Drosophila melanogaster: one gene and its partner. The gene in region 1 interacts genetically with each later gene. Each region holds a gene or a part of one and is shown on either strand. Other genes may lie near its edges. The genes, in order: Ih and VGlut.

What was found.
Region 2: of Ih (region 1) and VGlut, changing one suppresses a phenotype caused by changing the other (phenotypic suppression), as found in Drosophila melanogaster (one study listed by BioGRID).

Annotation. Positions count from the first base shown.
Region 1 is NT_033778.4:14,272,631-14,289,798, forward strand, and holds the start of Ih (I[[h]] channel), read left to right. Parts: upstream 1-3,499; 5' UTR 3,500-3,896; exon of another isoform or gene 3,897-4,650; 5' UTR 4,651-6,941; coding exon 6,942-7,012; intron 7,013-8,764; exon of another isoform or gene 8,765-8,926; intron 8,927-13,071; coding exon 13,072-14,853; intron 14,854-15,506; exon of another isoform or gene 15,507-15,625; intron 15,626-16,563; exon of another isoform or gene 16,564-16,643; intron 16,644-16,908; exon of another isoform or gene 16,909-17,029; intron 17,030-17,168. Other genes in the region: conv (convoluted), read left to right, coding at 1-679, 735-829, 899-1,786, 1,849-2,242.
Region 2 is NT_033779.5:2,390,186-2,407,353, reverse strand, and holds the start of VGlut (vesicular glutamate transporter), read right to left. Parts: upstream 7,060-17,168; 5' UTR 7,004-7,059; intron 6,604-7,003; exon of another isoform or gene 6,389-6,603; intron 6,248-6,388; 5' UTR 6,021-6,247; intron 5,465-6,020; 5' UTR 5,110-5,464; coding exon 5,060-5,109; intron 2,628-5,059; coding exon 2,297-2,627; intron 1,853-2,296; coding exon 1,616-1,852; intron 1,148-1,615; coding exon 497-1,147; intron 444-496; coding exon 258-443; intron 195-257; coding exon 1-194. Other genes in the region: CG46448 (uncharacterized protein), read right to left, coding at 15,444-15,578; CG43750 (uncharacterized protein), read left to right, coding at 16,719-17,168.

The DNA of each region.
Region 1 (17,168 bases):
CTTCGATGAGACCACTTTCGCGACCTATTTTCAGCTGAGCTACAACAATCTTACCAATTTGGCACAGATTCCCATTCAAAATATGACTGGCTTGAAAGTCTTGAATGCCTCGTACAATAGCATTACCGAAATACCCAAAAATTGTTTTCCAAAGCTCTATGAACTGCACACCATCGATGTCTCGCACAATAACATCTCCAGTATATTTAATGGAGTTTTTCAAACCCTATTCTCGCTACGCTCAATTGATCTTAGCCATAATAGCATGAGGGAAATCAAGTCGTCGACATTTGGCACTTTGCCAACCCTCTTGGAAATGGATCTGAGTCATAACGAACTGGTATCCGTAGTGCGAGGATCGCTGGCCAAGTTGACCAGTTTGCGACAGCTGTATTTAAATAATAATCAATTGGAAAAACTTTTCCAGTTGCCTATTTCCCTAAATGAGCTGTACTTCAGCCATAACAGGCTGACTAATATACCATCGGGCACCTGGCCAGTGATGAACTCACTGATCTACTTGGACCTAAGCCATAATCAGCTGGGAGACACTCTAAACGGGGAGAGTTTTACAGGTCTGTTGGTGGTGCAACGACTGAAGCTGCAAAACAATGGCATCAGTCAGCCACCAAAGGATGCGGTGGCTGTCATGTCAACACTGCAGTACTTACATTTGGAGGTGAGCAAATGCTATGAGAATTCTAACCTCCAAACTCATCCAACTTTTTATTTAGAACAACAATATTACGACCTTAGAACGAAGTGCCTTTGGTAAGCTGCCCGTCTTGTTTGAGTTAAATCTGTATGGTAACCAAGTTAAGGATATAAGGTAAGATTTATCTAAAATCTGTACATTTTTTATTTATAATATGACTAATAACCCATTTATAACTTGTAGCAAGCGAGCTTTTGAGGGACTGCTGCAGCTGCTCACTTTAAATTTGTCATCGAACGGAATCCAGACTCTGCAAAATGACATCTTTGTTGGTCTACCATCTCTGCGAAACCTTGATCTGTCCTTCAATTCTCTCACCAAGTTGGACAACAAAACCAATGGTGTTCTGGATGATTTACTCAGTTTGGAAACCTTAGATTTGAGTCACAATCGTATAAGTTTTGTTACCAAGAAAACCTTTCCCTCTCATCAGTACATTCCGTACAACCTAAGAAACCTGAACCTAAGCTACAATTTGATGCCAATACTGACCTATGATATTACATTCGGCACCAAAAAGCTGGTTCGGTTGGATGTATCTCACAATCAGATCAACGATCTAAGGAGAGGAGTTATCTCTAATTTTACTTCACTTCAAAGTTTGGATATGTCTTATAATGAACTATCTAATCTGAAGTCTGAAGAGCACATCTTTGACCTGCCTCAAAACCTGAGCTGGTTGGACCTTTCCCACAACAAAATCTACCACTTGCCGTTCGCCAATCTGGTGAAAGTGAAATCCCTGAAATATGTTGATCTTACCAACAATAGTCTGGAGGATGTGCCCGCTTCGATAGTGGGCAGCATGCGTAATGGTAGCCAAGTACTTCTGGCCGGAAATCCTCTGCACTGCGGATGCAATGCACGACCGTTGAAATACTTTATGCTGCAGCAAACGATAGCTGGAGAGGATTTGAAGAGTATTTACTGCGGAACGCCGGCTTTGATCAAGGACAAGCAGCTTATATCTTTGGACGATGAGTATCTGCACTGCGCCGAGGATGAGCAGGAGATGTATAAGGGCATTGACTATGAACAGCTTACAGATGTCCGATTCCGAGAAGTGAAAACGTATGCATATTTTGCAGTTTGAACTTAAAGTAACTTATAATCCTTGTACATTTTTCAAATAGCAACAAAGCGGGCATGTTGACCCTATGCTGGTATGTCTCCGGCTTTTCAGACGTCTCAGACTTCCACGTTTATATCCGAAGCAGTAGCAACGATGTGCTTCACCAGTCGGACTATGCCTATAACAATCGTACTGCCCAAATCCCGGTGGAAGAGCTATCGACGCTGGGAGAAGAGAAACTTCGAGGCGCTGAGATATGTATAGTATCCCGGGATAGCGATGGAAATACGCGCAAGTGGTTCTCCGGGCAGTGCCAGCAGCTACCTTCGCTGAAGCGGCCCCGGACTTTCTTCTTCGGAAACTTTCAGGTCCGCGGTGGCGTTTCCCGGACCTCCAGCAGCCTACCTCGTTGCCTTTTGTATATAATACTCGTTTTGTTTGTTGCCAGATTGTAGTTAGCATGGGAAAACTGTGCACCAAGATTATTTTCTTAATAAGTAGATAACTATACTCGAAAATGATTGTAATACTGATTGTCTTCAAGTTACAAATTGTGCACTTTATGTATGTAAAAATCGTTTTAAGTTCGTATCGATGTGATAAAATGAATCTTGAAAAGAGATCAGATTGTCCTTGATCTTTGATCCCATTGTTGGCCGTTTGCTAGTGTGTGTCGCTGTGGCCATGGCTCACTGTAAGGACACGCTGTGCTCTGACCTTACAGCTGAACATGTGCGCGACGCCCTATTATCACAGCCGTGCGCACATGTATTTGTTTACTTGGACGCCGCCTCGCGTGGGCAGCGCAATTCAGAAAGCGTTGGAGCCCACAGCCAACCCAACGGGCCAGCTGATGGCTGATGGCCCAGGCTGGCTGACTTTCATTCAGGGCGAAAACACAAAGGCTGTAATCCGAAGTGCTCTTCGGCGCGGCGATTCATTCTCAACTCGGACTCGGCTCCTGTTTGTGCAGCGGGAGCGGACAAAAGGACTGCGAGCGAGTGAAAGGACTCGCCTGAGAGCCTGGCAAATGCGCACTCGCGCTCTCAACCGAAAAGGCATGCGAGTAGCACACTGGCGGTCGAAATTGTTTGCACAGCTACAGTATCGGCATGCTCCTAGAATTATGCTATTGTTTTTGTTATTTGGCTCTACAGTTTCCTGTTCTGAATATATTTAATTTATTACCAGGGGGGAAATATACATACGTTAGCAATGTTTTTAAAGCTTTATTATTTCTTAAATATATACAACACAAATTTAATGTAAAGGTACAGCAATTAAGATTGTTTTTAATTTTTGGATTTTATTACTGAGGTAATTTCTGATCAATACATGTGTGTATTACACCCTACCTTATTCGATAGCTTCCAGGAGATATTGAAGGAGCATCCAAAGGACCTATCAATTCGACCGAACCTCCACTGTGCCGCAGGACACGAGACACTAAGGACATGTGCACTTTCACTGCCGCGCGCCACCCACATGCTCTCGGTTTCACTTTGGCCGCAGAAGAATGTGCTTTTGTGCCGTTCGCCTTTGCCATCCTGGTCCTCCTGCCCCCGCCGCCTCCTCCTTAGGATTTTGGCAGGCGACTTTGCCTGTCCTTATCGATTTTCAGCGAATCTCGCGGGCTCGGCTCGGCCGTTTCTGCTTCTGTTTCTGTTACCACGGCGCACGTCAGTGGCATGCGAATCGGGAAGCCAAGTTTCACTTGTCGCGCTGAGTTCGTTCGTGTCGCAGCAGCAGCAGCAGTCGCAGCAGCAGTAGCAGTCGCAGCAGCAGCAGCGAGTGTGCCGTTATTCCGTTCGTTACATAAAGAAGAAATTTCAAATAGCAAGTTTAAGTGCGCTGCTCGGTGGCGAATGGCATAAATCAGCATTCAGCGAAAGCAGCATTGTGATAAACATTTAAACGAAAGGAGCCAGCGCGACCCAATAAAAAATAAATTAAAATAGCCAAGTGAAATCAAAACGAAATCAAGGAAAAGTAATGAAATAATGTGCATTTGGTGAGCCAGCGACTGTGTATCTGGTGTATAGAGCCCAACATATATGAAAATATGAAATATTAAATGTGCCGTAACACGGGCGTTGAAAAAATTACCAGGTAGTCGTGGGCTCGGGAAAAAAAGAGAAGTTCCAAAGGGGCGAGGACGAGGTGGAGCAAGCTATTGGAGGAGAAGGAGCAGTAGGAGGGAGGAGGAAAGATGGCGAAAGACGAAAGCGAACGAAATTGTAATAGAGGTCAAAAGAAGCATTGATTTAACGTGTGCACTTCCTCCCACTTTCAGCTCCACTCCTCTTGGCTTTCTCTTCGTCGGCTCCTCCTTGTTGTTCTCCCACCACCCACGCCACCACCACCACCACTACCAGTGCCACCCACCGTGTGTCCTGTGTGTCCTGTGCCGTTCTTCGTGCCACGACTGTGAACTGTGTCTGTGCGTGCCTCTCTCGCAATATTTGCGTGTGCGTGCCTCCTGTGTCTCTGTGTGTTATAAATAATTTGTTTAAAATTCGTCAAATCGCTTGACGTTTCATTCAATAAATTCCATCTACCAGGACACACGCTCACACACACTGGCACACGCACGCACACACGCACAGACGCAATGCCCCGTGTGGCGCCCGTGAATCGTGTATGTATGTGCGAAAAATGTTGATGACGAACCACTTACGTCTATCGCAACCCACGAATCCAACGAAACCACGACAAACACAGCCGCAGCAGCTGAAAAAATCGCATGTAACACACCAACACAACCGTACACCACACACACACAAACACGCCCATACATAGCCCTAGGACACACGTACCGTTCAATATCCAATAAGAAACCAAGCATAATTACATAATCAAATAGAACGACTGGCAAAAAAAATAAGGAAATATAAAAAGACAAGAGACAAACACGAATAAATAAATAAAAAAAAAAACACGAGCAACAAAAGCGGAAACCAGCGAAAACAAGGACACGAAAGCAAACACGATAAATCAGCGCAAAGTGCAGCATTATTTAATCAACGCCAGAGTCAGTCAGCAAGTGGAAAAACCCTGGAAACGCCTAAAAATAAAGGACACGCGATAACCAAAAATAGAACGTAATGATAAAACCAAAACCAAAGTACCTGCAACAATGAAATTGAGCAAATCTTAAAGGCGTAACCCAGACAAGCAAGCCCAAGATTAGAATTACTTTTAGAAATATACAAAAAGACACTCGCTATATACAAAAGTGCTATAGATAAACGATAAACGCTATCCGCAGTAAAAACAACGCAAAAAAGCAAATAAATTAAAGTAGTTCGTTGACGTTTGTTCACCGCTGGAAGTTATCGATACAGCCCAAGGATATAGAGCGTAATCCCCGTTGAGATAGTGTAATGGAACTAACCTCGTAGTTTGTAGAGAGACCTGCGTCTCAGCCTGTAGGACAGCAAATTCAAATAACCGCAACATAAACGCACTTATCGACTAACTAAAACTACCAAGTAGTTGCCTCTCTATATACAATATATATACCTATATATATATTTATACACCTACGAGATATATACAAGATACTTAGCCGTAGCGATTAGACGAAAAGCGCCAGTCTGTACATCTACCTATATGGATTTATTTTTATAATGCCGCTAATGCAAAACTGGATCCCCGCCCTCGACCTAGGCCTTTCAAATTGCATCTGAATAAGTAACGAGGGCGATATTAATGCATTAATTGGGTGACGAAGGACGTCGCCACACGGAGTCCCAAGGAGGGACTGTTGCCGGGTCCGGATCCTTTGCGTGTTGCTCGTGTCAGATACACAAATACGCCCAGAGCCGTAATCCGTGGACTCGCAGAGGAGGAGTGATACGAACGTACAGGACGAATTAAAGCTACCTGCTTTGGGTTTCTCGTGTTGCGCTGCCTTGACGTAACTCCGCCTTAACTCGCGTCGCTTCCATTTGCCACAAAAGTGAAAAAAAAACAGAAAATAAAGGGCGACCGCAAAGCCAAAACTGCGGTGCGTTCGTTAAACTTTCATGACCAAACATTAACTTAAGCAGGGAGGAGGAGGTGGAGGAGAGGCGTGGCCAGAAGCCAGGTTGGAAGGCCAGGCGGGATAGCATACATTTCGGAGCAAGGAAACTGAGCTGTCATCATCACTGTCCCATCCCCTCCAACAGCTAGTTTGTTATTTGTGATAAATTATTCAGTGATCCACATTTCGGATCCCGATCCTGCCCACCCCACTTCAGCTCCAGTTACCGTTACCGTTATCGTTATCGTTACAGTACCAGCTCCAGTTCCAGGCCCCACCATCACATCTGTACACCAGCAACCACCAACCGAATAGCAACAATAACTATACCCTAGTGGATAAACGTCATTTATAATCCAGAGTACAAAGTACGAAACTAAAACTCAAACAAAAGCTAAACTATAAATAGTAACATATGGTATTATTATACACGCAACTCAAACAGATAGTGTCATAGAGTCACATAACCTCAAAGAAACGAAAACGAGCGCATAACGAAACAAAACGAAAAGTGAAGAACCATAAGCAATATAAACAGTGCTGTTGACTATTTTAGAGGCCACCTTTTAGATACCGATACCTTCTCACCCAACCTACGTTACTCAACCAAACACCTATGAACCCACCAAAAACGAATCGAAAACCTAACCTAACCTAAAACCTAAAACCTTAAAACACGGATAACGGCGAACAGCCCCATGTGCGAGTGAGACAGCCCGAATAAAGAAGAAAGAGAGTAACACAACGAAAAGCAATTAATTTTTGTTTACGTGTCCGTGTGCGCTGGACTTGTATTAGTTAATGCCAAAAATCGAAGCGGAAGTTGCACCCATACCTGCACACCCAACTACCACTACAACTACAATACACATACACACATACTGAGCCACGATGACAAGGCCAAGAATTGCAGTGGGCATTGCGGGGCCTTTCCGGCGGCAATAGCAATAGCAACACCTTGAAAAAAAAAACTAAAAAAAAAGCAACAAAAAATAGCAGCAAAAATATCCCCGATAATAACAGCCACGTTACGTTAGCGAAGGTGGCGCGAGTGGTTCGATGTGGTTCGAATTCGAGTTCGAGTGCAGGTGGTGACGTGACAGCGGCGGCGTCGTGGGTCCAAGAAAATGCACGTTAAACACACTCAGCGCCGAGTCAGCGGTCCTGGAGCCTTCGGAACCTTTACCAACGATCAACGGTAGGCGTTACCCACTCACTAGCCATCCTTGTATGTCCTTGTACTGTTGTTGTGCACGATGTACGTTGTACTGGTGTGGGAGGTCGGTTCAGTGCAGGACGTCCGTTATCCCGCATTTCGGACTCCTCTGGCCGGGATCTCCCACGTTGTACAGTTTTGAGATGAATGTACTTAATGTTTCAGTTTCAATGTGATCTCTGGGGTGGACCGAGTTTATTATGATAGACCATTTTACGTATTCATATATTAAAATTGCATTTTTGTTTAGAATATCTTGGTTATAATTTAAATTATTCAGTATCATGCATTTCACGTTGGAAATTAAATTATTAATTAATTCTTTTTGGAAAGATTTAAAATAGAAATAAAGTTAAAGTGCCTTTAAGGCAAGGAAAATGTTTTAACAAGCGTATGGTATTTTTTTATGAAAAGGGTCAACGCTTCGTATGAGCAATTTATTGACACCATGGCGTATGTGTAATACATTCTGCCCACATGGCGTATGAGTGATTCATTTTGAAGTCACATAAAATGAATTAAATAACCCTAATAAAAATGTAATATCTAACATTGTAAGGTCTGTGGTCCACCCTAGCAATCCTGTTCCTTGTGTTGTTAGTTTTGTTTCGTTTCGTACCGTTATGTTCAGTGTCTCTGTTTCGTTCTTTGTCTCTTGAGTTACCCTGTTATTGTTGTTGATGTTGTTGCTGCTGCCGCAATTGCTGTTGTTATTGTTACTGTTCACATTCATACGTGTGTGTGTGAGCGTTGTGAACCAGTGTGTGTGTGCGTTTGAGCGAGTTGCCAAGTGCCTTTTTTGCTGGCCTCCTGTGAACTGATTTCCTGCTCACAACGACCAACACCGCCCGCCGCCCACTCTAAGGGGTCATCCGTCACTCCAGTCAATGCAATTACGAAACTAGATTAAAAGTCAAGCCAGGCCGACAACAATGGCCGAGCACCGATACCGATACCAATACCAACACAATACAATACAATGAATTGCATTGCTTGAGAATAGTGTCAAAGTACTTTGAGTGCGAACGCACGCAGTGCTGCATACTTTCAGAGGCCACTGTACATGTAATTGCATTCGTGTGGGTGTGGGCCAGTCTGTGTGATTGTGTATGTGTCTGAATGAGCGGAAGCTTTCGTTTTTACTTCAATGATTAAACCACTGACCGAATTTCGGCTGGCATTTGTTTGTGTGTGTTTGTATGTATCGATAAGCACTTGCCGACTACTGCATTGTTGTTGCCTCCCACACACATACATAGCTTATTCACCGATATATACACACACACAACCATGATAAAAGACAGAGACGGCGACAGTGAGTGAGCGAAGCAGAGGGCCAGATAAGCTGTTCTTTTCTTTTGTGCCAAAAAGGAAGCCCGATGTTTCCAATTGAGCTAGTTCTAGTTCCACATTTCCATACACTCGACAGCAACAAAAACACCAAATACCCATTCAAACATATAGGCACTACCCTTACACATACATAATCACATACAGATACACATACAAACACATACATATATGGGCAGGACCCTCTGGTGTCTGTGTGCTTTGTGCAGTTAATTTAATTTCTTATCCCCCAAACGAATCTCATTTAAGTTATTTCCCGCTCAGTTTGTTAGTTTTCAGTTTCGTTTCCTTCATTTCTCGTTTATCGTTTATTATTTCCATTTTGGTACTCGTCACGTGAATAACTTGGATTTATTTCGTGTCCTTGTCGTTGTTGTTTTGCAGAAAACTTTGCTTGAAAGTGCAAAAACGTTGAATACAGAAACTAAGAACCAACCAAAACCGAACCAAATCAAAAACCAGATCAAAATCACAAACCGAAACCGTTATCGAACAATTTGCAATTTACATTTGCATTTGGAGCGATCCTAGACATCAGCTGTGAAGGTACCGCCGACCAACTTCCGAATTCTCCCCATACTTTCTCTCTATATCTCTTTTTGTCTCTCAGTGTCTCTGCCTCTCTCTCTCTATATAGTATATATAGATCGTAGACTCTGTATGGTACTTCCCTACTACTCTACTACTACTAATACTAACTACTTACCGTTACAATTCCAACTGCAACACACATATAAGAACTCAAACACAGTCACACACACACACACACATTTAATGCTTCTAACTTTTCTGCTCGTTACTAGAAATTAGACGGAAAACTAAAAAAAAAGAAAACCCACCACCCCCGCAAGTTTCAACTTTTGAGCTTTACCATTTCTGGTTGCAAGCATAAAGTAAACTCATTAACTTTGATGCACTTTGCTAACTTACCTGTCCCTCAAAAGTCCATCGATAAGAGTTTCGAATGCATTGCTTTAATGACTTTTTCCCCACCTCGCCAACCCTGCCCTGCTTAAGATCTTTTGTAGTAGCCCCACACACTTCGCTTACCCTAGATGAATGACAATCCCGTTTGCCATGTATCTCACACAAGTCGAATCCAAAATTTATTTACAATTGGCATGCCAAATGGTTGTGATGTAGCATTTCTTTGTTTGTACACTCCACTGATTTACACAATTCGCTGCCCGCAAGCCTGATTTATTAATTGCTGGTCTGTCGTTATAATTAATGGATAATTTGGCTGAATTCTGGTTTAGCCGAAAATCGTGTTATTTATAGTTGAGCTGAGCTCTCCCATCGAGTTCTGTGTTCATTTGCCTGCCCAGCCGGAAATCTTTTGAACTCAAAATTTAATTACCGACCGAGAAGTGTATTTAAAATGGCATTTTCAAACAAACGACATTCGATGAACCATTCGTGAACTCAGTTCGTTATTGCAATGACCTTAACCAGGTCATCACTGAGAGTTTTCAGATATATTCTGATTATATTTAGGGTATATGTACGTTGATACACTTGAGAAATATGGTTTGGAAAACTTTAATAGGGATCGAATTGGTATGGGAATATAAACATATATTTCGGTAGTTGAAAGTTTCCATTCCCCCAGCATTATTATAACATAAAATTGTGTAAAATATATTATAGTCAACTTTTCTAAACAGGCATGTTCAAAGTTTTTATAAAGATCTTAAAATTGTGTAAAATAAATCGCCATTTCAGTTTCCGATTCTGATTCACTTTCCCCCATACGAATAGAAATCGTAGATATATGTATTTTTGATCAAATAAAATCCGCCTGACTGCATAGACTGTGTAAATTGGCACAATGGTAAACATTTGTGCACTAAAAATGGAAATTTTCGTAATTTGTTTACACGGAAATGTGTATCGAGTGGCATGTTTGGCAATTTGCTTTCAATTTTTGTTTGATTTTGCTGGCGGGCGCTTTCAGTTCATGAGCAATAAAATGCATAATATTGAAGGATTTCGGAAACATTCGCCCAGAATCAGAATTAAAATAGCTCAAGCGGTCACGCTAAATGTTCCAAAGGTCAAGACCATGAAAGAATTCCGCAATCGATCGGATTCAGGGAAATTAGAACACAGCATCTCCGCCGAGACAAGTAGATCAGTTGCAAATATAGTTGTGGATCCCCCATTTGGGAGCTCACAGCTGCACTTGATTTAATATCGATGAACGAAGTGGAATGCAGGCAGGCAGCCAGGCAGCGACTCAATTACGTACGCCTTACGAATTTACGCTTAATGCCTTCAATTGGCTTTCTGAATTATTAATTGAGGCATATTGTGTCTCAGCCGCGGGCGGCGGGGCATTGGTGGCGATTTCGATGCCAGAAACCTGCTCCACCAGACTCGTTTCGCCACCAATATCAAAATCCCAAGCTCTCGAGGATGGCCAGCACATGCTCTGCACTCAAAGACTAATCCGCTGGCCGGAGGGCCACTCCAATGCACCAAAGTTGACATTGGACGCAGGCCACGCCAGAAGGTTACACTGAGAGAAATAGAATAATACGTATGTGGAGATGCCTTAGATGCGGCATAGCAACAAAACATTTTACATTCAATTTTTTTCTTGGCATAGCAGAGGTCTCTATAAATATTTATAGCAATGATTATTAAATTTAGTAGGAGCTTAAGGTTAGGACTGAATATATACATTTACTTGTAATAAATAACTTAAGTGAGATTTCTCACTCATTGAGCCCAACTTAGCCGGTGGATTGGGGCAAGGGCCACATTTGACTGCAGCACTTGACAGGTGGCAAATACTCGAGGCCAAGATGAAAAAGCCATCAGACAGGAAGCCGAAGAGCTGGTATTCCCCGGGGCACTCGATGCTTTCGCTTTGATTTGGCTTTGCCATTGCCATTGCCTTCTCAAAAGTGACTTTCGGCCAGATTAGGTCCGAGATTGGCAAGAGGCCGCCACTCGGTGGCGGATGTGCGATTGTATCTGGGCATCTCGTTCGATAACTGCAAAGTGCACACTCATCGGCTGAGCATTAGCGTGCAAATATTTGACATATTTACTTGTATTTGCACAAATCCCATTCGAATTCGAATCAGAATTGGGATAATTGCGCCTCTGGCGTGAGGCAGCCAGCCTTTGCCTAATTGACCGAAATTGATTCGACTCGATTCCGGGGCTGGAAAATGCTATTTGCTCTGCACCAATTTCCCGCCCCATTTTTCGCGCTCAACTCTCGAGCTTGGCATCCGGCATCGGAATCGGAAAAGTTCGATGCACGCACACCGAGAATAGGGCATCCCCTCCTCCTTCCCCAACAAATGTTTACCTTTGTTTGAAAACGTGCCCCTCCCCCTGCCTGCCTGCGCCGGTGTTTAGCTATATCAACAATAGTTTGCCTCACGTTTCGTAGCATTGATTGCCCAAGGCACAGTGGGCTTGGCCGCACAGGTAGAGCTCATTTCCATATAAGTGGGCCACACTCGATACAGCTTCCCATGGAGCACCACTATGCACCACTGTGCGCCGCTGTGCTCCCACGCTCCCTTATCAGCCATGTCCGTCTGGCGCAGCCTTATCTTATCTCGGCCATTTGGCCATTTGATTTAGGGCACTTCCGCCGCCCACCGTGCGGAATGCTTTCAGCGCCATTGGGGCACGCGCTTCCAGCCATATATCTCCATCGAATCGGTGTGTTTCTGCATCTGTAATTGTATCCGTATCTGTATCTGTATCCCTATTTGTATCTCTATCTCTATCTGTAGTTGTTTGTTACCGCTTGTGTATCTGTGGCTCTATCAGTGCTTGGCCTGCGTGCCGCCATACATTAATTTAGTTGAATTTTTCGCGCGATCAGAAACCAGATGAGCATGTCAACCATTGTATATAGATGTCTCTATAAATTGTATCACACATCGCGGTCACATTGGGCACTCGATATAAGGGAAAGCATTCTGAACAAATAAGATGTCACATTTGAACAATTAAAGAACAAACATTGAAAAGGATGTTAAAAAAAACAGCTTATTTTAAATATTTTGTAAAATATGAAGAGCATCGAGATGCAAAGTAGACAATTAAAAATATAAAATCAATAATAAACTTTCGTCATTATTTACCTAATATCTTTCTGTAGTCGTTAGCTCAACTTAAGTCCATTTGACAGTAATGATGATCAGGTTGAGTCACACTTTATACAGCAAAAATCTTGAAGTCACGAGACCGCTGAAGTCAACAATAATTAGCGAATAACGTCCATACTATATCCTATCATTAATGCTCAGACTTTTAGTGGTTCAGTATATCCAGTGTCCTCTGTGCGGTGAACTCACATAGAAGCCGGGAATGCGATACAAACCTTCCCCCACCACTACCGCCCCTCACCGCTCACATGTTGCACAATCAATATTTATAATAATTAAGAATTTTCTTTGTTTGTCTCGCGGTTTTCCACACTCGCACACACTGTTTCCTGCTCACTTTAGCGTGGCCCTCTGGCCGACGAAACCTGCGTTTCGTCTCCCTCCAATGCTTGCCTGCCAATTTGAAATAGATAAATTTGAGTGTTTGCCAGCGACGCTGGCCATTTTTATTCTGCCATCGAACACGGTACTCATTGAAGTCTCCTCTTTCTTTCCGCCACCCCCCACTCCACATGCGGCTCCTTGGGCCGCCCGTGATGATTCCGCCAGCAGTGCCAGCCGCGACAACTTGTGCCCGGACAACCAGCAGCAGCAACAGCAGCGGCACTCGCACTCGCACCAGCACTTGGTGCGCCAGTCTCTGGTGAGTCTCAGCAACGGCCAGCCGGCGGCATCGGCGGCGCCGGACAGCGTCTCGCTGCTGCGAGCGGGCGATGACCAGCAGCAGCATCCACAGCAGCCACATCTGCAGCAACAGCAACAGCAGCAGCAGCACCTGCAACAGCAACAGCAACGGCACCGCAGCAGCAGCAGTCGACTATCGACAAGTGGCATATCCAAGCAGAACTCATCGGACAGCAGGAGCGGACTGCGCATCCTTGACAGCAGCCACAGTCCGGTGAGCTGTGGCACCCAGAGCGTGAGCAGCACTGGTGGCCAGTCGGCGCTCTACGATGCCTGTCACGAGTATTCACGCAGCTTGAGTGCAGCTGCCGCTGAAGGAGCCGCTTCGCTGCTCAAGAGCCACTACAGTGACCAGCAATTGGCGCAGACGGAGCCAGACCCAGAACCGGATCCGGAAAGGGATCGGGATCGGGATAGGGATAGGGATAGAGACCGAGAACGGGAGCGTCGCCACCTGACCAACCTCAATCTCAATCTAAGCAGCGAGTACGACTACAGCGGAAGTGATAAGCAGCAGCTGGTCAACGAGACGTACATCTTCAAGTGCATCGCCAACAGTCCATCGTTCCTGCGCACCAACAAGATCAAGGAGCAGTCCAAGAAGCTGCGGAATCTCTCCCTCAAGACACGCACCGCCAAGAAGAAGGGCCAGATTATCTCCAAGTCGAACGCGGTGTCGGATAACTCGTTGCATCCGGGCGACAAGTACCTGAACTTGTATCTGGTGGAGAAGAAGCACTCGCTGCAGCCGCAAGTGGCCTCCACGTCGAGTTCCATCAACACCACGCATCCGCAGGCTTCCTCGGCGCCAGCCAGTTCGTCCTCCACGTGCACCAAGGCGCCGCAGTTGCCCGCCTTGTCGGCGGTTGCTGCCCGCCAGCAGCAGTTGTTACTAAACGGATCGCTGAAGGGCAAGGGACAGAGTCAGAGTCAGGGGCAGAGCCGGCAGACGCTGCCCGGCCATCGGGCGTCGGTGAGGAGCGAGAGTGGAAGCGGGAGCAGCCACACCATTCCGGCGACGGGAAAGAGTCCGCCGGTGCCGCACTCGCTGGCGGCCAAGATCAGCAGCTCGGCAAGCGGCAGCAAGAACTGCAATTTGCTCAGCGCCAGCAGCAACTCATGCCACAAGCTGAACGCCCACGCCCAAGGATCGGGAGCAGGATCGGGATCTGGATCGGGATCAGGATCAGGACCACCCGGACACAGTCACTACGCGGCCGCCTCGCCCAAAAGTTCGGTCAGCAGCAACGGTCACCTGAACAAGTACTGCCTCACGGACCTCACGCGCCGCAAGGCCGAGTTCAATCGCCAGCTGAGCGCGCCCACGGACTACACGCACCACTCCTCCAGCAACGGATCGCAGCAGGAGGGCTCCTCGGAGGCCAACGAGGGCCACGAACCGGTCGGCGAGTCCACCATCACCGTAGCCAGTGCCGGCGTATCGTATCCGCATCCGTACTCCTATCCGTATCATTACGCGCACCACGCCTCCTCGGCCACAGCGCCGGCCAATCTCAAGGCGTCGCTGCAGCTGCACAGCTTCGGGAGCCACCATCCGTGTCCTTATCCGGCAAGGCCCACGTCCACGTCGTGCACCAACAGCTTCAACCGGCGCCACATTCGCCGGCACAAGGGCAAGCTCGGCGATCGGTGAGTACTGTACATGAGATTCTTCTGAATTTCTATTTATATTTACTACAATGTTAATATTCTACGTTTTTAATATGGCATAATAACATTGTGTTTGGTCCTATAGTTTCGTTCCATATGTTTTAGATACCATCTCTTAGCTTATCTCTCAGATACTTCAGTGGAATTAGTCATAACAATAACAGTGCACATTTAATTGAAGTATTTAATATTGCCAAAGGCCAAGGCCATTCGCTTAGTCAAATATTTTGTTGTATAATCGTGAAATGCAAAAACACTGTGATGTATAATCAATATCATTTTACCAATTACCTCCTAGTGGAAAAAGTTCTTTCAATGGAATCACAGTGTACTTTAAAAAGAGAAACAACAAAACTTTTGTAAAAAACTGAAAGAAAAGGGGATTCCAGAGACCACGACGACTTGTTTCTCAGTTCGGCGGATTCCCCCGAAAAGAGAGCGCGAAACTCAAGACATTACCCCGGCTTACAAGTGGAAATTACGCGCATTCAAAGCGCCTGATCGCCTACTACTACCGGTTTTTTTGAGTGCCTTGGTCTCCGCTCCGCTTATCGCCGGGCATTTGCATAATTCCGTCGTCGCAGACCGAGGGAATCTCACTCCGCCGACCTGCCTTTCGCCTCGGAACGCGCAATAAACTTCTAATGCCCGTCGAGCAGTGAACTCCACATTTTGAGCGGATCGAAAGTTGGAGCGTCAGCTCGGAAATACCAATAATCCCAAGGGTTCTGTTCTACACAGTCTACAGTCGGTGTGTGCCTAGTGCTAAAGTTAAAAAAAAGTAATATTAAACTTTTTACGTTCGGAAAGAACATATGTATGAACGCGTTCTAAAATGAATTTACGTGCTTTGGTTGTTAAACCAAAAACCGCACTCTATAAACCAAATAGAAGTTTACAAATATTTAGATATTTTTCCAAAACCTTGAGCATTTTTATTAATAAGGAGTCCACTGGATTACCCAAACAAACGTTTGTCATTGTGCGTGATTTCGTATAAGTAATTGAATCGAGCTCGATTATCAGCCTGATTGCGAGTAAACAATGTTTGTCAAGTAAACAATGTTTCAATCGGTCCGTGTGAATAACATAAGTGCACAATTTGTCGCCTCCACTCAAGATCACAAATTGCGAACGAGACCCAAACCGACAATATATAGCTTCCTCCTTTCCTGACCACTGATATCCAATCTAATCTTCGCGTGAATCGAACGCGTTAACCGCATAAATTTGCATAAAATCCAGACATATGTATGTATATTTGCCCATCACTGTTTATGTTTATGTTCCATGTGCTGTTCGCTCACTTTTCGGATAGTTTTGCTGTACTGTATCGTACTGTATTTTACTGTATGGTCTTTTGCTTTTATTGGCATCAATTTTTGTGAAGACAGCCCGGTCCAGGGAATTACAAGCAGCCATAATTTGCGTCGTCGATCGTCGCGAAATCAATTAAAAGGCAGCACAAATTCGTTATTTATTTATTGTGCAACGGCAGCGGGGTTCAGAACAGGTTATCAAGTCGCCGCAGCATCAGCATCACCCATCAGCAGCAGTAGCTTAATAAAAGTCTGGCAAATAGCAAATTAACTAGTTGCCATAATAGCGAAGAAAAAAGACAGGAAAAGATAGAAAACATTGAGATACAAAGAAACGGAAAAAAAAACCCGGCGACAAGTGCACGGTGTCAATATCTCAATTATTTAATTAGGCAATTGCCAGCCAATTTCGGAAGCGAACTGCAATTCCTGTACCAATTGATATTCGAGGTAAGAATATCGCTCAACCAACCAGTCAGTACGGAAAGTAAAAATAAAGAATAGTAAGCAAACCCCCCATTCCATCTTTCGCTGCTCGAGGACGCACGAGATCCCCCATCCGATCTGATCCAATAGAATACGATGCGATACGATACCATACGATACGAAGCATTCCATTCCGAACTGGCCACGATCTGGTCTCGTTTTTCGGAGTGTTTGCCGGCGATTTCGATTTCCAGGCGGTTTGCGAGCGGCAACTCGGCCGGCGGTCGCTAGTCGCAAAAAGTTTGCCGCTGTAATCACTCCAAGTGCCGGGTTCTACTCTATATACATACGTAGCTATATAGCACGCTTCCAGACTTCTACGATTCTCCGTTTCTCGGCAGCCGCACTTTGTGAGTCGTTTGTGTAATCTGCATCAAAACGGCGGAAAAACATCTGCTTCAGCACGTTTTTCCAAGTTGCTAGGGAAACAAACCCAATAGTTTCGAATGCAAAACATCAAACAAAAATCAACGAAAATTCCAAGTGCGC
Region 2 (17,168 bases), on another chromosome or scaffold:
TCGCCCAACATGCCCGCCTGGCTAGGATCCGTGTTGGTAATGGCACCTGGTGGTGGAGCCCACACCTTTTGCTCCTCGGCCGGAGGTTCCGCCCACGGCTGCAGCTCTCCAGATGCGAAAATACCATAGAAAGTGCAGCCAACCAAATGAACACAGGCGGCCAGGGTGAAGACTGTAGTCCAACACCCGGTAGGCTACAATACCAAATGAATACCTTAGCTACAGAAACTACCTTACACTAAAAAACCCCAACTTACATTAGCTTGGATGAGGCCATCAAGGGCATAGGGCACAATGATGCCGGCCAGAGTACCAATTCCATTCGAAAGACCCATCAATATACTAGCATAACGAGGAGCAATATCCAGGTGATTGACATTATAACCGGATATGGCAAAGCCACTGAAGGCCACGCCGCAGGTCAAGGCAAACATGGCACCCGTCTGGAAAAAACAACTTATAGTATTGAGTATAAAGGAATTTGTTTATAACTTACCGCCGTTGAGGAATGTGCCACGAATAGGAAAAACAGACCCTCCATGCCAAAGCCGCCGCAATTGAAGAGCTTGCGCACATTGGTGGTGGACAGGATACCATTCTTTCGCAGGTGATCCGCCAACATGCCGCCAAATGGAACTATCGTAGTCATGATCAAGTGGGGCAGCGAGCCCACGAAGCCCGCCTCCTCCACCTTAAAACCGAACTTGTGCTTGAGGAACGAGGACTGGAACAGCACCAGGAGGTAGAAGTTCCAGGAGCGGCAGAAGTTGGCCACAATGATGGCGTAGACCGGCATCGAGCGCATCATTTCCCGCCACGGAGTCGTCTTCAGGGATGGCATCGTGGGATGAGCCGACTCCCCGAGCGATTTCTCGATGTACTTCAACTCGGGTATGCTGATGGCCGGATGTTTGCGCGGGTTCTCGAAGCACAACCATATCCAGAACATGTACCATATGATTCCGAACACCCCGTAGGCGTAGAACGGCGCCTGGTAGCCCACGGCATCGGCCAGAAGTCCGGAGAGCGGAAGTCCAACCACCACGCCCGCATAGGAACCGGAAAAGGCCAGCGTCGCCAGTCGGGAGCGCTCCATGGGCGGCGCCCAGAAACGCCAGATACCATGGCAAGCTGGATAGGTAACGCCCTAAAAGAGATTATGTTTAAATAAATGGATTATTTAAATAAGTCAATTAGGATATTGTCCTATATTCCAATGCACTTAGTCTCATGCAGTTATAGTATCTTAAGAAAATGTGCTTTGTGAAATTAAAAATATATATCTAAAATATAGTTACTTCCGAACTCGAATAGACAAACATCCTTTTTACAAAGTATCATTCTCTCCCTTCCGATTCGAAGAAAAATGACATACTTCCCAGTCCTTGGCACAAAGAAATCGCATTAAAATAAATGCTTTTGTTATTTTTTCCTGCCCTCCCAGGACCCCCATCCCTTTGAGGGCTTAGGACATGTTTCCATTTCACATATTTGCTTTATCATAAAGCAAAATCTAACCCTCCCCATTTTCGCAACATCACGCAGCCGTAATCCCCGGCTTTGATCTGTGGCAAAATCGAATTGGGCAAGTTGTTAGGTTGGTTGGGCTACATACCTCGAAGAGTCCTTGCAGGACCCTCACGCAAATCACCACATGACCGTGCATCAGGGTCATGGCGAATGGCACGAAGAGATGCAGCGTGGCGGAGCTCACGATGGACAGTCCGAATATCTTGTTGGCCGGGAACTTGGAGGCGATGAAGCCGCCGGGAATCTGCGTCACCAGATAGCCCCAGAAGAAGGACGAGTCCACATGGCTCTCCACGGCGACCGTCCAGTTCATGAACACAGTCTGCAAAAATCCGGAAACACATTTTACGGGATGAGTGACAGAAGCTCAGCAATCATTAAAAACTGCTCCAGGCATTTATTAACGAGCGTCAAGCAGGATTCAGAATTTCAAATTGGTTTCTATGATGGGTCTGTGTGGGTGCGTGTCCTTTTGTGTATGTATGACTTTTGAGCCACATCCACCCACACCCACACACACACTCCCTAATTGACAGCAGCTTCTCGTCAAATGAAGCGAATTTTATGAATAACTCACTCCTCTCTCGAATTTATGAATGCTCATTCGCTGCCGAAAATTTAATCAATTTAATATGCAAGTAATTTAAGGAACAACTTTAAAATCGACTCTTCATCCGTGTAGAGCTTAAAGAACTTAAGCTGAATATAAAGCGAGTTCTTGGTGTTGAGCGGATTGTAAGTAGATTATTACACTGTGAGTACTCACCCCATTGTGCTCCCCTTTGAGCTTGGCCGCCGACATATTGCACCTCATGCCGAAGGCGATCATGAATCCCACGCAGGCCATGGTGGCGATGGTGTAGCGGGCCGGCATGCAAGGACACTCCGCCTTGCAGTACTTGTCGATCTTGCGGAGCGGCGGGCGCTCGATCTCCTCGAAGGAGGCGGGCGAGTCGGGCCGGTCGTCATCGTCGTCGTAGGCGTGGCCGCCGCCTGGTCCGCGGCCCTCCCGGTCGCCCCCCTCCATTTCCTCGTAGCCACCGTGGCCACCATGATAGCTCTGCGATATCTCAAACTTCTCCATATTGGGCTTCAGGCTGTGGAAGAAAAACAAAAAAGATTTTTATTATTCATTCAGTTAAATCAATCCTGTCGTGTAGTGTCTTCCAAACATTTTCTCCTGGGGCATAATTCATGCCAATTAGAGCGGATAGCTGGCCAAATCAACAGGTCAACGAGAGGGCGTGAAAACACAAATATTTTCGGCTTGTTAGCAGCAACAGCTACCACCCCCTTCCGATTTCACCCACCGGAGGTGGTTGATGTTTTCCCAAGGGTCCCAGTGGAATTGCGGTGACTGAGGGGAGGAATCGCTGGCAGAACTTTCGTCCTGGGAGTTGAATAAAATTCAATTTTATTAAGTGCCGATAGCTGGGCTACGGGTATTTAAAGTTGATTGGAGCAGGTAGGAATTCGCAATCGCATTTCCCGATTTGATTTCCCAGTTTAAACACAGTTAAAAGACCTTGTCACCGACCAGATTGATGGATGTGTGTTAGCTGATATCTGCTGATAACTGGGGTGACCTGGCCACCTAACCACCCCGAGCAAGCCATTAACCCAAGATAAGTGACACATCAACTGAGATATGGCCCCTCTCACTCTCCACGGATTTGGAATTTTTCTTCATAAATATCCAGACAAAGTCCCCATAAGTACGCAATACAAACTAATAAGCAGCCACCAGCCAAAAACAAGCCACTACAGTGGATATAACTTTGCCGTCGTCGTCGAAGTCGCCGCCTGTCACATAACTCAACTGTCTGCCGCCAAAGCTACCCTCGTCTGGTCACGCAGGACCTCCTGAATAAGAGCGAAAAAAAGGAGCTGAGGGAACGACTTGCGTCCTTCGAGCAACTTGCGCCTTGACCGACTTTAAGGCTGACGCCAATTTGATGCCCTTCGCAAAAAGGGACTGCGTTATGCCCATCATTAGGTCTGTTATAGGACAAAAGAGGATTCGATTACCATTTTGAGGTAATATATTAAGATCTTGGCATTGAAAAATCAGTCACATAAATATGAATGATAACAGGGTTTTAAAGGTTTTTAAATAGAAATAGCTAGTTACTTTTCAATGATTGACTATTTATTTTTTTTTTTTTATATATTCATTTTAGAACATATCAGCGTCGCATTTTTTAGACACCAAATTTTTTGAAGATGAGCCAAACTATCCTTGGCGCTCAAGTTCCGCATTGATTGTCAGTAAAAATGTTGCAGACTTTTTGTCGCCGCCCAGATTAAGGATAACTGGCGCCACAAGCAGAAGGCTTTTGTACAATTCGCCTTTGACTTTAACGTGGCCACAAAACGCGACCATTAGAGATGTAAATGGGGCACATTCTCAGATATATATGTATATGTAGAGCTGTATGGAGTGTATTAGTTTGTTTGCCCTGACAACTGTGATGAAGATGCTCTGGCACTGAGGGGGAGTGGGAGAATGGGGGCTTGTCAGCGACACGACCGCGTCTTCAATGGCAATTCTAATTTCATTTTCACTAGCAAGGATAAAGGAACTCCTTGAGCACTCCCCCAACGAGGCATTTCAATTTCTTCGCGCCGAGTGCCACTCGAGCGCTTCAGCGCCAGGTCCTGTTGGCAATGGATACGGATACGGAAACGGAAACGGCTCGCAGCTCGTAAAAATCAATTTCATTTGCCTTAAGCGCTGCAGCAGCCTTCGTCGGTATGCAACAAATTCCGTAATGAAAGCGATGTGCCACCTATTGTTCCAATTTCTAATTTAGCACTCAAGGTCCTTGAGAAATCAGACGAGGTGTGCCCATCAAATTGCATACCACGACCACACACATTCATCGAGTGTTTGCCCAATATGTCCCAGTGGCACGACTTTATTGCGTTTCGTCCGCAATCGAAGGTGCCGGAGTTGAAGTTCCCGGACACGTGCTGCCAACGTGCCCGGAATTCCTGACGCACCGGTGAGCTCGTCCGCATGCCACTGCGTTCGTTGTCACCAGTGAAAAGTGCCAAGTCCCAAGTCCTTAGAATCCCTATAAACCCCCTCTAATGACTTGTTAAGCATGCCAATAATTTTACAACTTTCCGGGGGGGGCGCGACACGTGCCGAAGTTTCGCGACGCCGGCTAGTCGCCAGTGCGTATCAATATCGGTACATATTTACTGCATTATCCTGGCATGGTCAAGTTCAGCCAACCACGAGCACCGACCATCCTTGCGTTAAATTAAACTCTCTCCCTTTTGTTCTCCGCAGGTCCATTTGATTGCAATCATATTTCATTTCGGGCATATTGCCACCCATCATCGCTGTACACTTGCCAACAAAATGAGGATATATTTTAAATATACATATAGATCTGCTTTCTATGCTTAAATATATCCTCTTGCTGGTAAAAAAAAAAAACCTTTATAAATCTGAATATTCTTTAAGACCCAAACCCTGCTGTCTGGTGTTACTAGAGTATATCATATCACATCGACTCACCCGCCAAACACGCCCGTTGCCTTCTCCTTAAACGCCGTCAGACCCTTCATCTTGCTGCTCAGCTAGTAGTCCTGATTTTCCCAGACGCCTGTCCTCACTCCGCCCCTGCCTCCGGATCAACGAGTCCTGCTCCTGCTGCTGTCCTTTCGCCCAAGTCAGCGTCTGTTGTGCTTCGTTGCCTTTGCGCCGTTATCACTTGGGCGCATAAATATATTTTGTTGCCTACTTCACGGCGGATTGCCGTGTATATAAGCGTAGCGAATCGGCGGCGGTTAATTTCCGTGAAGCCAGCACAAATTTGATGACTCTATTTTCGGGTTGGCTCGTTCTCTCAGCGGGGGATTTTCACTTGGTCGCCATATGATTTCGATTCTCGTGGAGTTTGTGCATTTTCATTTACAGTGCCTGCAAAAGAGATTTGTATGCGGCTATTAATGGGTCCGGCAATTTGTGTTCTGCTGCTGATAAGCAAAAGTCTCGTACAATTTCATCATTTTGCACATTTCTTGTAAGCCGCTTATGTTCATAAATTCACGAGAATTTCGAAATGATTGTGATGAGGGGTAACTACTGAGCCGGCAGAGCATTTTGTAAATATTTCTGGCATTGTGAGCGGTTTTGATAGCGTTTTATGCTTCATTTGGTGTGAGCATGAAATTTGACACCTCTTTTGATTTGGGTAATCTCTTTCGAAAGAGTTAGCAATGTTACGATTATTGGAATTATTAGAATTACAATTTATAATAAGAAAACAAATTCAATGGAAATAATCATAGGTTTTAAGTTTGTGCATTTTTTATACTAGCTTATTTCTTGTTAGATCAGGAATTTCGAAACTAAATGTAAAGTATATATGTACGCATTCTTTGGCGTTTTTCACAAAATTCTTTAGATGATTCCATTGGAAGCTCCTCCCCCAAAACAGTTGTACTTTTGACCTTTGGCCACAACGCCTACTTACATGCCACACCAGAGTTACGTAATCCATTTCGTAGTTGGTGCAAGATTATATAATCGGCCTCTAGTCGTAACTTAAGCACAGATATTTTTGGTGATTAACTTGGCTTAAATTATGTTTTAGTAGACAACGAAAATCGTTTAATTTATTTTGTTGTTGTTGGTTAGGATATCACAAATAAGGTACACAGATAACAGATTATATAGCTTGATTATTCACTACGCGATACGCTGCAAATGGGATAAAAAGGGATATGGAATTAGGTGATTTAATATAATTAGAAGAATTTTTTAAAACAATATATATCTTCTTGGTAATGTGTTAAAATATATCGTTATAGATGTTTTGTATTTATTTATATAAAGTCTCACATTTTCTAAGCAACACTCGCCCGCAAAAATAGAAATGAAACTAAAGTGAAAAACTTAAAACTTTGGATAAACCAATTAAGAACTCAGTATGTGGGACGACAACATCCAGACAGAGTTTGACCACGAGACCGGCGGCAGGTTGTCTATGGAACCGACGACGACGACGAGGACGATGGTGATCCGAATCCAACTCTGTCTGAAGACTGTGTGACGTCCAACTCAAAATCAGCCGCGTTGTGGACCTCCAGCCAAAGATCGGCGGAGGACAGGTGGCAGCGGAAGATGGATACATAAGCTGCCATCGCGGCCTGGAATGTATCACATACAGGGGTATATGTACGGAGGGACTAGTGATGAAGCGAATGTGGGATGGGGTGTTAAAGGGGTGGGAGGAGCGTAGTATATACACTGGAAATTTTCAACCACTGGAATGTGCGAGATTTTCTTTTCAAGGGTATTACGAGGCGTTGCCAGAAAAACGTAGATTTCTCAACTTCTAGCCGGAGGGCAGCACTTTTTCGAAACACTTGCTATATTAGCACGATTATTCGGATATTTTGAACTATATTTTCTGATTTATTGGTATATTTTAGATGTATTTTCCCAGCTATATACCCGCAGCTCCAGGCTCGCTTTTTGGCCTCAGCAGGACAACGCACGAAGTGAAACTAAAAGCGCCCGCATTCGCCTTTCTTGTCTGCCCAGATGGATGTCCTGCCAGAGGATTATGCTCCTCCGCAGCATAATCAACGCATCCGTCCCGTTCGCACCCGCTGTGGTGAAAAGCTCGCGACGCAGGCGACAGCTGCGCAGGCTCGAGAATCCTTCGAGAGTCCTTCGTCCTTCGGCATTGGTTGACGGCGAATGGCAACTGTAGCAGTTGAGACTGGGGACAGCTGTGGGGGAATGGCACGCCACCTGGCCAAAAAGAACCAATCAGAGGTCCTGGTACATGGGAATGTCTTTCTCTGGGTTGGCATGCGAATCTCAGTCGTGCGTGAAATGCTATTAACATGTTGCCAGGCCATTTTCCATTGTTTTCCTCCTGGCACACAGACGTCCTGCGTCCTTCTGCCGCCTTTTTATAGAATGTCAGCCATTTTGAATATTTTCCCCTGTCTGCATGGGGGCTCAAAATAGCTCCAAACTTGGTGAATTTTTGGAAAATGCTACGATTTATGGATGAGCGTTTCAATATGAATCGTGAAGTCTGACCGGCTACAAATAAATAAGTCCTTTGCTCTTGGCTTTGATCGATTCGAATCGGACGTGATGCTTTTTAAATTCTCACGTTTGGGAGCTTGAAATCTATCTAATGGATTATCATTAATTACTGGGCGGTCTAACGGTAAAAAAACATTTGATTCATTTTATTAGAATACTCTAATGGATTTTTCGATCCTAAATTGATCTTATTTAAAACCAAAGCTAGTTGTCTTTTATTAGCCCCAAGAAGCAGAATGATTCGTTTATTATTATTCGTTATTATATTCAAGGAAAGAGAAAAGAATCTCCAGTTCCAAACAACACATATACTTATTAGGCTCAACTCAACTTGAATATTCTCAATGGCCACTTTAAGTAGCTAATAATCCTGGTCAACAGTGTGAGCAACTGCCTCGATTCTCATCAACCACATCGATTCACGGGACAGAAAAAATCCATGCCCCATAGAAATCCCCGCTTCCGTTCGGCGTCCCATTCCAGGATCCCCTCCAGATGTCCTGGCCACGTTGCGAATACGACGCGTTGGCCTAACCCTCATAAGCATAAAGCAAACAGCCAACAAACAGTTGCAACTCAGCCAAAAGCTATAATAAAGTTGCGGAAGTAAACAGCAAAGCGAAATAAACAAGAAGCGGGACGAGGAAACAGCCGAGCTGGGAAATGAAAGGAAAGTCAACAGAACGGCAGCGGGATTTTCGCATTCGAAAGGGATACAGATACATTTGCAGATACAGATACTACGTCTACGGCATGAGCCAGACTTCGGGGCAGACAGATTTCCACAGACAAGACGGCGGCACAATAAAAGCATCTGCGATATTAAATTTCGAAAAATGCCCAATCCGTGCGGCGTTTTACTATTTAAACAAAGCGATTAAGGGTGCGTGGCTAGCGGCTAAAAGCGCCATTCACATTGATTGACGTAAATGAAGAATAATCGAATTGCGAATTGTGCTCATAAAACTCTAAACTAAGTGGCGACGTTGTCGGCCGGATCGAGTGTCAGTCAGTGCCCATCGTGCACAGTGGAAAAAACCGAACATTCAAATTGGTTACAAGCTCAATCTACAAAAGTGCTAGTCAAATATATATATTTTTTAAATTACAATAAGTTCTATATGCATATGAGATTTGCAAGCTATATTCATCTATAATTTCGACAAATTTATAATATTCCTCACTCAAAATGATTCTTTAACACCCACTGTGCTCAAATCGGTAACCTTAGCTGTTGGCCCGCTCTCATAAATTGTCAGCAGAAAAGTGTCAAACTTGAGTTGACAGTCCCCCGGACGGAGTTTCGTCCTGGAATCGGGCGAGGACTTCCGCTGGCCTCCCAGTTCCCATCGCACGTCAGCGGTAATTAGTGCAGCTTCGGCAGAAAGTCGTCTTCAATTTCATTGCGCCAGCGTAATCATCATTATCCTGTTGGGCCTGTTGTGTCCTTATCCACGCGGCGGTCTCCCGTCGTCCTTGCCGCTTGCACTAATTACAAAATAACTTTTGCAGCTTTGTCATCTCTGTGTACTTTTTTCGGGAGATTCCCCACGGTGCGTATGATGTATGGCTTTTCGTTGTCTGATTTATGAGTGAATTACGGGAATGGGCGTCGGTGGATTACTTTCGGTGAAAGGGTTTCACGCGGTTTTAATTACCAGCCGAAACTGTGACGACTTTAAAAGCTCTCGAATTTCAGCTTGAAATCGTCAAAAGTATGCGAGTGGTTTTCCCACCGAGGCGGGAAATTGATGAGCTTCTGTGGATTCAGCAGACTCATGCTGTCAATCCACATGTCCACCCACTCAATCATCAAACTAAACGCTGTGCTCGTCGATAAGCGTGGCACATAGTAAGCGGAGTAACATTTCGAATCCTTGGGACTGGGGGAATCACGCAGGTCGGGGGTTAAGGGTGTGTCGCTGCCCAAAAACGATTTCTGAGATTTAATATTTATTTTTGTTTGTGTGCAAATAGCTGGAAGCGTCTGAGATATGATGGAAACTGCGAGGGGCGAACTATGAAACGGGGGATTTTGAGATGTCTGTTCGGTGGGAGATTTATCTTACAGCTTCTGTATTTTTTGGATTTATAGACACATGAAACTATCATATATTTCCATAGTTTCCTACTACTACCCCACTTGGAGGAATCGCCTTACCCATCCTAATTAGCATATGCCTCCATTTAGGACTCAACTCTTTGTCCGTCGTACAACAACAACGAAATCCATTAGGGTCATAGAAAGTATATTGCATTTATTCATTCGGAATACATTTTTCTCTTCGCTTGCCGAACAACAATAAGAGCAGAATACAAAAGGCGAAAAGCGTCAGTCAGTGCAACTTTATTTCAAGCTACAATGCGCAGGCAACCCACCTACTAAAACACAAAACCTCATATTTATTACACTAAACAAAAATACTGCAGCAGTATGCAGAGAAAGTCCCATGTTGTTTCCATAAATAGAAACTACATATTTAATTTCTCATTTGAAAAAAGACATTGTAAGTATTTTCCCAATGCTATGTGATATTTTTTGTCGAGTGTAGAAGTCCTGGTGACAGGCGGCGGTATACCGGAAGCAAATGCTTTTGTCGCCCGGCGTGTGCCGCTTTCTGTTGTTGCGTTCGTTTTTTGAGTTTTACCCTCAAAATGCATGAGTTTGCTCATAAATGCTAGCCTGAATCTTTAGAATGCCTTGATTAATGTTGGCGCACGTTGGCTTTTACCCCGTCCACGGCGCAGGATAAGGGTGACCGAGAGCGGGCAATAAAAATGTTGTCACACATCATTTAGCAAGAACGGGCAGTCCGTGCTTTTCCGTGGCCTTAAATCGGTTTTAATACATTTATTATGAATTCTCAAACATTTCAATTCGCCGTTGGACACCTGATACCCCCTTTCCAGCTGCCCGCCCGAAGAAGATTCGTTGCCATTGCCTGCCAGGCATCATAATGAATCTAATCACTTACGCTCGAGTGCATCAATTATGCTGCCATCAAGGATCAGGGCAGGACGACGAGTGGGAGGATGGGCACGACGGGCTGACAAAATGACTCCAGGATGGAGTGACAGGCATGGTGGACGCGGAGCCAGCAGAACAGAAGCGACGACGTGCCCATTGTTAGCTGTGAAAATTTGTTTGCTACGTCATCGCAACAACAAGCCCCTCAAGTTGATAACTTTATGATGCTGTAAAGAGACATATATATACATCTAAATATCTATGCACCCCAAAAAGTCGAGAAGATTAGAGGGTGGTAGTATTAAAAAAGTTTTGAAATGGAATTAGAGGGAATAGTGGGACGACTAACAAGAGCAATCTATATGATATAAGTTTTACATAAAATTGAAGCTTCGGTTCGTCATTTTGATATATCTCCAAAGTAGTAGCATCTACCATAAAGAATTGAAAGTAATGATAAGAAAAGAAATATTATCCTTGTAAAGGATTTTGTCGAACTTAAAAATTTATTATACATTTTAAAGTATTTATCTTTTAGGTCAACTAGAAGTTAAAGTTGCTTTCCCCCCTGGTCATCTGTGTAAAGAAGCCACAAAATGTGTTTGTCATCATTAGAAAAATATTACATTTCCTCTGTCCAAGAGCAGATTGCCTTGGCAAAAAGGACACGGATGGCAATGGCGCAGGACTTTAATTGCTGCGAATGCGAATACTTAAAAGTTGTTGCCTTTTATGCGGTTGCCGTCAAAGCGAAACTCAATTAAGCTGCAGTCACCACCCCATGAAACATGGCCCACCCCGAATCAACATCAACCCATGGTTTTCCCTGATTTAAAACTGCTGATACGGCAGTTGAGGACGTTGGGGGACTAGGACATCAATAGGAAGCTTTGTCATGGTTGCCCTGCCAGCCAGCCACCGAATGCCTTTTCAAAGGCATTTTTAATTGAAATTATCCGATGCTACCTTTTCGGCTTCTCCCGCAAAATTTCCATTCGAGTTTTGCGTTTTTCTGCTTTGTTACCTTGCAGTTGGGTTGATTGACATGTGAGTCGTCGTCCTGCTCCTTGGAAACTTTTCTCGGCCTCAGCTTGTTTACATCTTAGAGCGCTAATAGCGGCAGACTTAAGTCTGCGAGCGATACGCCATAAATCCATGTTAATAACGCCATTGTCAGAGGGGATGCAATCCGTGTCTCAATTCGAAGGCACACAGCTGCACTGAAAACAATTAGTGACCAAATGAAATGCTCCATGAATGGAGCACCTTTAAGGTTCAAAGGATACTTGCTTCATGACACATTTTCGAAATATTTCCGAAAATACTTACCTTTTTCATTTCAAAGTGTAAGATTCTGTAGTGGCCGAACGGGGGAGATTTTCAACTCAAAAGACATTTAAGTAGATTAAGCGACTTTCATGTTGTGTCTTCAGTCTTTGGGACATCAAGCCAAATGAACGACGACAGTGAAACAATTCTCGAGGCACGCCCGTTGGCAAAGGACTTGAGCACGGCGAACGGCAGGATATAAAGCCCGGCAATATGCCCAGCCAGTTGCCACTCGAAATATATGCAAATATAGTCCTTGAGCGCGGGCGTGGCAAAGGGGGCGTTGCAGCGGCAGCAGCTTCAGCAGCAAACAATGAAAGTAAATGCCAAAACATTTTATTGATTATCAGGCGAAAGGGAAGCTTAGACAGTGGATAAAGGTTACATGATATTGGAATGAAAACATTAAATGTTAAATTTTATAAATCTCATTCAAATGTTCACGTTAATCGATGTCTATCTAAGGCGAAGAACCTAAGAGTTATTTAAAATATGAATAATATATATTTTGTTATAAACTACAATAGTTGAAATTCCACTGTGCTTGGTCCTTCAGCTGCCATTAGACGGCGCCGGCGAGTGTGCTACACTTTTTTGCAGTTGTCTGACGACAATGCGAACTGGAGTCCTGACGTCCTGGAGTCCGTGACTGAACACCGGAGTGGGGACCTGGACTTGGGTATGGGTAAGAGCATTGAGCATTTTAATAACCGCAGTGGAGAGGCGGGAAACCCGAATAGTAGTGCGGGAAACGATGGGCGGCCATAAATTATGCCACCCACCGACTGCAAAAAGGCGAAAACATTGACAGTCGTCCTTCGTGGGCCGCCCGTTGAGCGATTTGTAGTACATCTCCCCCCTTCCCGCGACTGCGCTTTTTGGCGTGGTGAGGCCCAAAGGACCTCCCCTGGCTTTTCGATGCGTTGGCAATTTTAAACTCGATCGTTAGAGATAGCAATGAGGAATAGAAGGTTGAACGAGGCTGCGAAGTGGTCAGTGCGGCGTCATAATGCAATTGTATAATTTTCTTAAAAGCTCACTGTCGTCGACGATGAGTGTAACAATAATACGCAACTGGAGTGCACTTAGTACCGAAAGTAGCGAACCATTTAGAGATCACAAAGGGCATTACAGAAATTAAAAATGCCCCCCAAATGGGCAATGAACCACCGAAAACACACAACTACCCACACATTTGGTCAACGAAAACAATCAGGCAAATGGTGTGAAACTGGGCATTTAGCTAATTGAAATGAGCGGGCAAATAAAATGCTTGCCAAAAAGTAAATAGAAGTAAAAGTGCAAATCCTTGGCTGCCGCGTGGAGTCACGTTTCACTTGGGGCTTAGCCCACAGCTTCTGGCCTTCCTTTGGCAGGACCACCTGTGGCTTTCGCCCGCCAGGATCACGTCCCAGGTGCGAAATGAAGATTTATAAAATGGCAAATTGATTTAGCGCGCCAAGTGTTTCCTAATACCGCCAGCTTGATGAAATTTTAATTTTCTCCCCCAGGGAGCATAAAAGGTTTCTCTCGCTCATGTGGCTCGATTTCACCCCCGAGACTTTGGTAATTGAGGGTTAAACTAGCACAAGTTGTGGCTCATCAACAGGTAATTTCTGTGCGAGATTTTTATGACCACTTGCCGCTTGTTAGTTCGAATATAAATAATGCATGAGGCAACTTTAATGTAACAAGCTCAACTCAATTTCGCCCCACAAAAAGCGTAATTTGAATACTTGGCCGCATCACGTTTTCCGACTTTTCTTTTATTCCCCGTATTGGCAATCGCGATACGCATTTTTATTATTCTTTTTTTCCTATCCCGCTCTCTATTGGTAATACAATACGTTCAATTCTGCTTTTGGCTTTTCTTGAGCAAACACAGCGCGGAAAAAATTCAATTAAATGTAATCGCATCTATTTCTTCTGCGACCGTGACTGATTGTTCTAAGGGAGAAAGGCGCGGAAAGAATTGAAATTAAAATTGAATAAATAGCCAAATAAACACGCTCTTTGAAAGTAAATGCTAATTCCGCGCTTTTCCTCAAGTTTCCACTTTCGTTTTTTATTATTTTTCATCACCCATCTCAAGTGTGCGGAGGCACGTGCCAAGCCAAATCCTTTTAATGTGTCTCCAAAGTTGGAACACTCGATGTGGGAAGTTGTCAAGTTGTAAGCAAAAAATCATATTGCAGAACTTTCAAATCTATGCTCAATAAAAATAATTGTAATATATACAATTTAGTGTTAGATCTAGACATAAGTAAAGCTCCCATTTTACTTAAAGAAAACCTTTAAAAAAAAATTACAATAAAGCGAAGACAGATCAAATTAGGAAGGCGAAAAACTTTTCAATTACCATCGGATTCAATTAATAATGCTGCTATGCAGGTAGCACACACATTTCAGCTAACCAGCTTAAATGGGGAAAAAACGTTTTCCATTTAGCAAGGACGCAATGAAATTCAATTAACCTCAAGTGGATGCCACAACAGCAGGATTCGCCATGATGAAGGCATAAAACAAAGGCAGATCCTGCGGTGGCATTCACACCTCATCATCGTCAACAGAAGGATATTTCTCGGATGGAATGGGATGGCATGGGCGGGGGTAGTGAGGATTCGGCAGAACATCCCTCAACTTTGTTTGGAAGCGTTTAGCTTCTGATATTGCCACCCGGGGTTATCGATGGCATATTAAACTTTCGCTGCCGCTGGCTTTTCTGGACGCGGAGTGCTCCTCAGAACCCCGTCTGATTAAGAGCTGAGCAAACAAATCACGAACCAGCCGGATTGTTTGCTTAGCCAGTGTCTAAACATCGCTCTCGACTGTTTTTTAAACTGTTTGCGAAGCGGTTCCGATTCGTGGAACAACCCCCAGTGTAATTAACATTTCAATTTTGCTCATCGAGCAAATGTATCTCTTGTGCTTCACTGCCTCCCAGCCTTCGGTAAATAAATTGTTTTCCAGGGCAATTGATGCTGCTCTTCCGTGTTGACATATGCAAATTTTTAGCACCGCCCACAACAATTCACGAAACTTTTCTGATTACTTTTGGGCATACTGGTGGGGTTGAAGTAGACCTGGTTATTTGCCAACTTGATGGCCCCCTTTGTAGGCGGTTCAATGGCATCGATTGTTTGCTCTTTGCTGGTTTTATTACATCATATAATATAAAACAATAAATGAAAAGAAGATTACGAATTCACGTTATCATCGTCGATTTAAGATATTTTATAAAAAATGTAACAAAGAAATGAAATATCTGCCAATATTATTATCTACAGCACTCTTTTAACAAGAGGTTCTTGCTTGTTAAATGATTACAATAGTTGTTTTGATTACAATTAACTCATTTTATTTACATAAAATCACATTTGTTTTCCAATACAAGTACAAAACAATGCCACAATAAAAACAATTAACTAATCATAGGGTCTAGATCGATATGGATTGATATGATGTTGCTATGATATTCTTTAGGTTCATTGAGAGATATTCTAGCTGGGCAAAGCGATAAGAACTAAGCCCGAATTATGGGATCCTTTGATATCGACTCCAAGCACTTGAGAGCTGGATTCTCGGGCTCCCACTGCCACTGCCACATCCGAAAGTCCGCCAGTTCCGTCGGCATTGCTGCCACAGCAGTCGAGGTCCTTGCCAAGGCATGTCCTTGATGTGACGAGGGGGAATCCCCTTTTTGTTTTCCTTCTGCTTTCCTGTTTTCCCAGACTCTGGCTCCCTTCTCACGACCGATTCCTGGGCGTCGATTGTGGTTTGTGTGTGGCGCCAGTCATTGGGCCGGGGTTTTTATAGCTGCCGCCGCAGAAACGAAGCTTTCTAGACTCCCCGTCCGGAAAATGGAAAACTTTCGTGTTGAGTTTCAGTCGAACGGAGTGTTGAGTTTCCCCACGCAAGTGGCAACAATTGTTGCCGCCTAATTGGGTGTATATATGTATGTTGCTCCTGTGGCGCTTAGGTAAATAACCATACTTGTATACAACGTGTTCATGTGCGTGTGTTTGACCTTATGCACACAAGGACACGGGAGCAAAAGGAGGAGCCAGGACCTTCCATCCATCGCAATGGCCGCCATTCGAAAATTTCGCCGAGCACGGCATAAAATTAAATGTTATTTAAATTATGCCCGCTCTTTCGCTCTAATCCTTTCATTCCTGCGAGTAAGTGATTAAAGCCATTAACGAAATTATCGAGGATTATAAAGATTTGTACGGAACTTCGCAGCGGGTGTTCTTTCGGAAGACAATGCCGTTTCCGTAATCCCGGGGCTTCAATTAATGGAGTGTCGCCGTCGCCGTCGCCCACTCGCAAAAAAGGGTTGCTGCCCCGCCCACCGCTAAAAGGTGCTTCTCGCAATTGGAAAGGGTGGTTTTCATATATTTGTTATTGCACAGAATGGCCATATCTTTTTTTAAACATTGCGCTTCAACAGAGACTCTCGCCTGATGACGTCAATGTGGAACACAGCTTTCATAGTTTTCATTCCTCTATTGGCGCTCTTTTGAGCTTTTTCTTCTATTTTTATTACTATTTTATTGGTTGTGGAAAAAATAATACAAAATGTTTTATTTGGGATATAGCAAGTGTCAAGAGATAATTACCACAAAGTAAAGCTGATAACTAAGAAAAATAGCACACATACAGTAAGAAAGAGTATGTTGATCTATTTAACAAAATTAAGAAAAAATTTGGGAAATAACATTTGTACTGGAGTAGTGAGCTTTGCTTCATATAGAAAATATAAAAAATATACTTGTATACACTTTTTAAAATGTAGTCAGTAGTATAATGGAGGAGGTTTCCAATACCGATGTAAAGAAGGTGGAAGCAAGTACTCCAGTTAAAAAAACCAGAAGTAAGGAGGAATCGCCTACAGAAGCTGGAGCAGGTCCTGTGCCACAAAGTTCCCAAGAAGTGTTGCTTAGTTCACACACATATAATACACCAGATGACGAGCATTCCATTTGCGAAACTAATGAAGATGGAAGTCCAGAATTTGCTTCCGAATCACCTTCAATTTGTGATAAGAATAAGCCTAGTGGAGTACAGCTAGATAGCTCCGGAATATCTGGAGGTATATGTCGTGGAAGTCTGATGGGTGCAGATTCAATGGAGTCCGAACTTAACTCAGAATCTAGTGGGGAGCTTTTAGATAATAATGAATTGATTGCAAGGAAAAAGAAAAGAGATTTGTTGAAGTCAGACGAAACTGAAGACCCCGAGGAAGAGTTTAGGAAA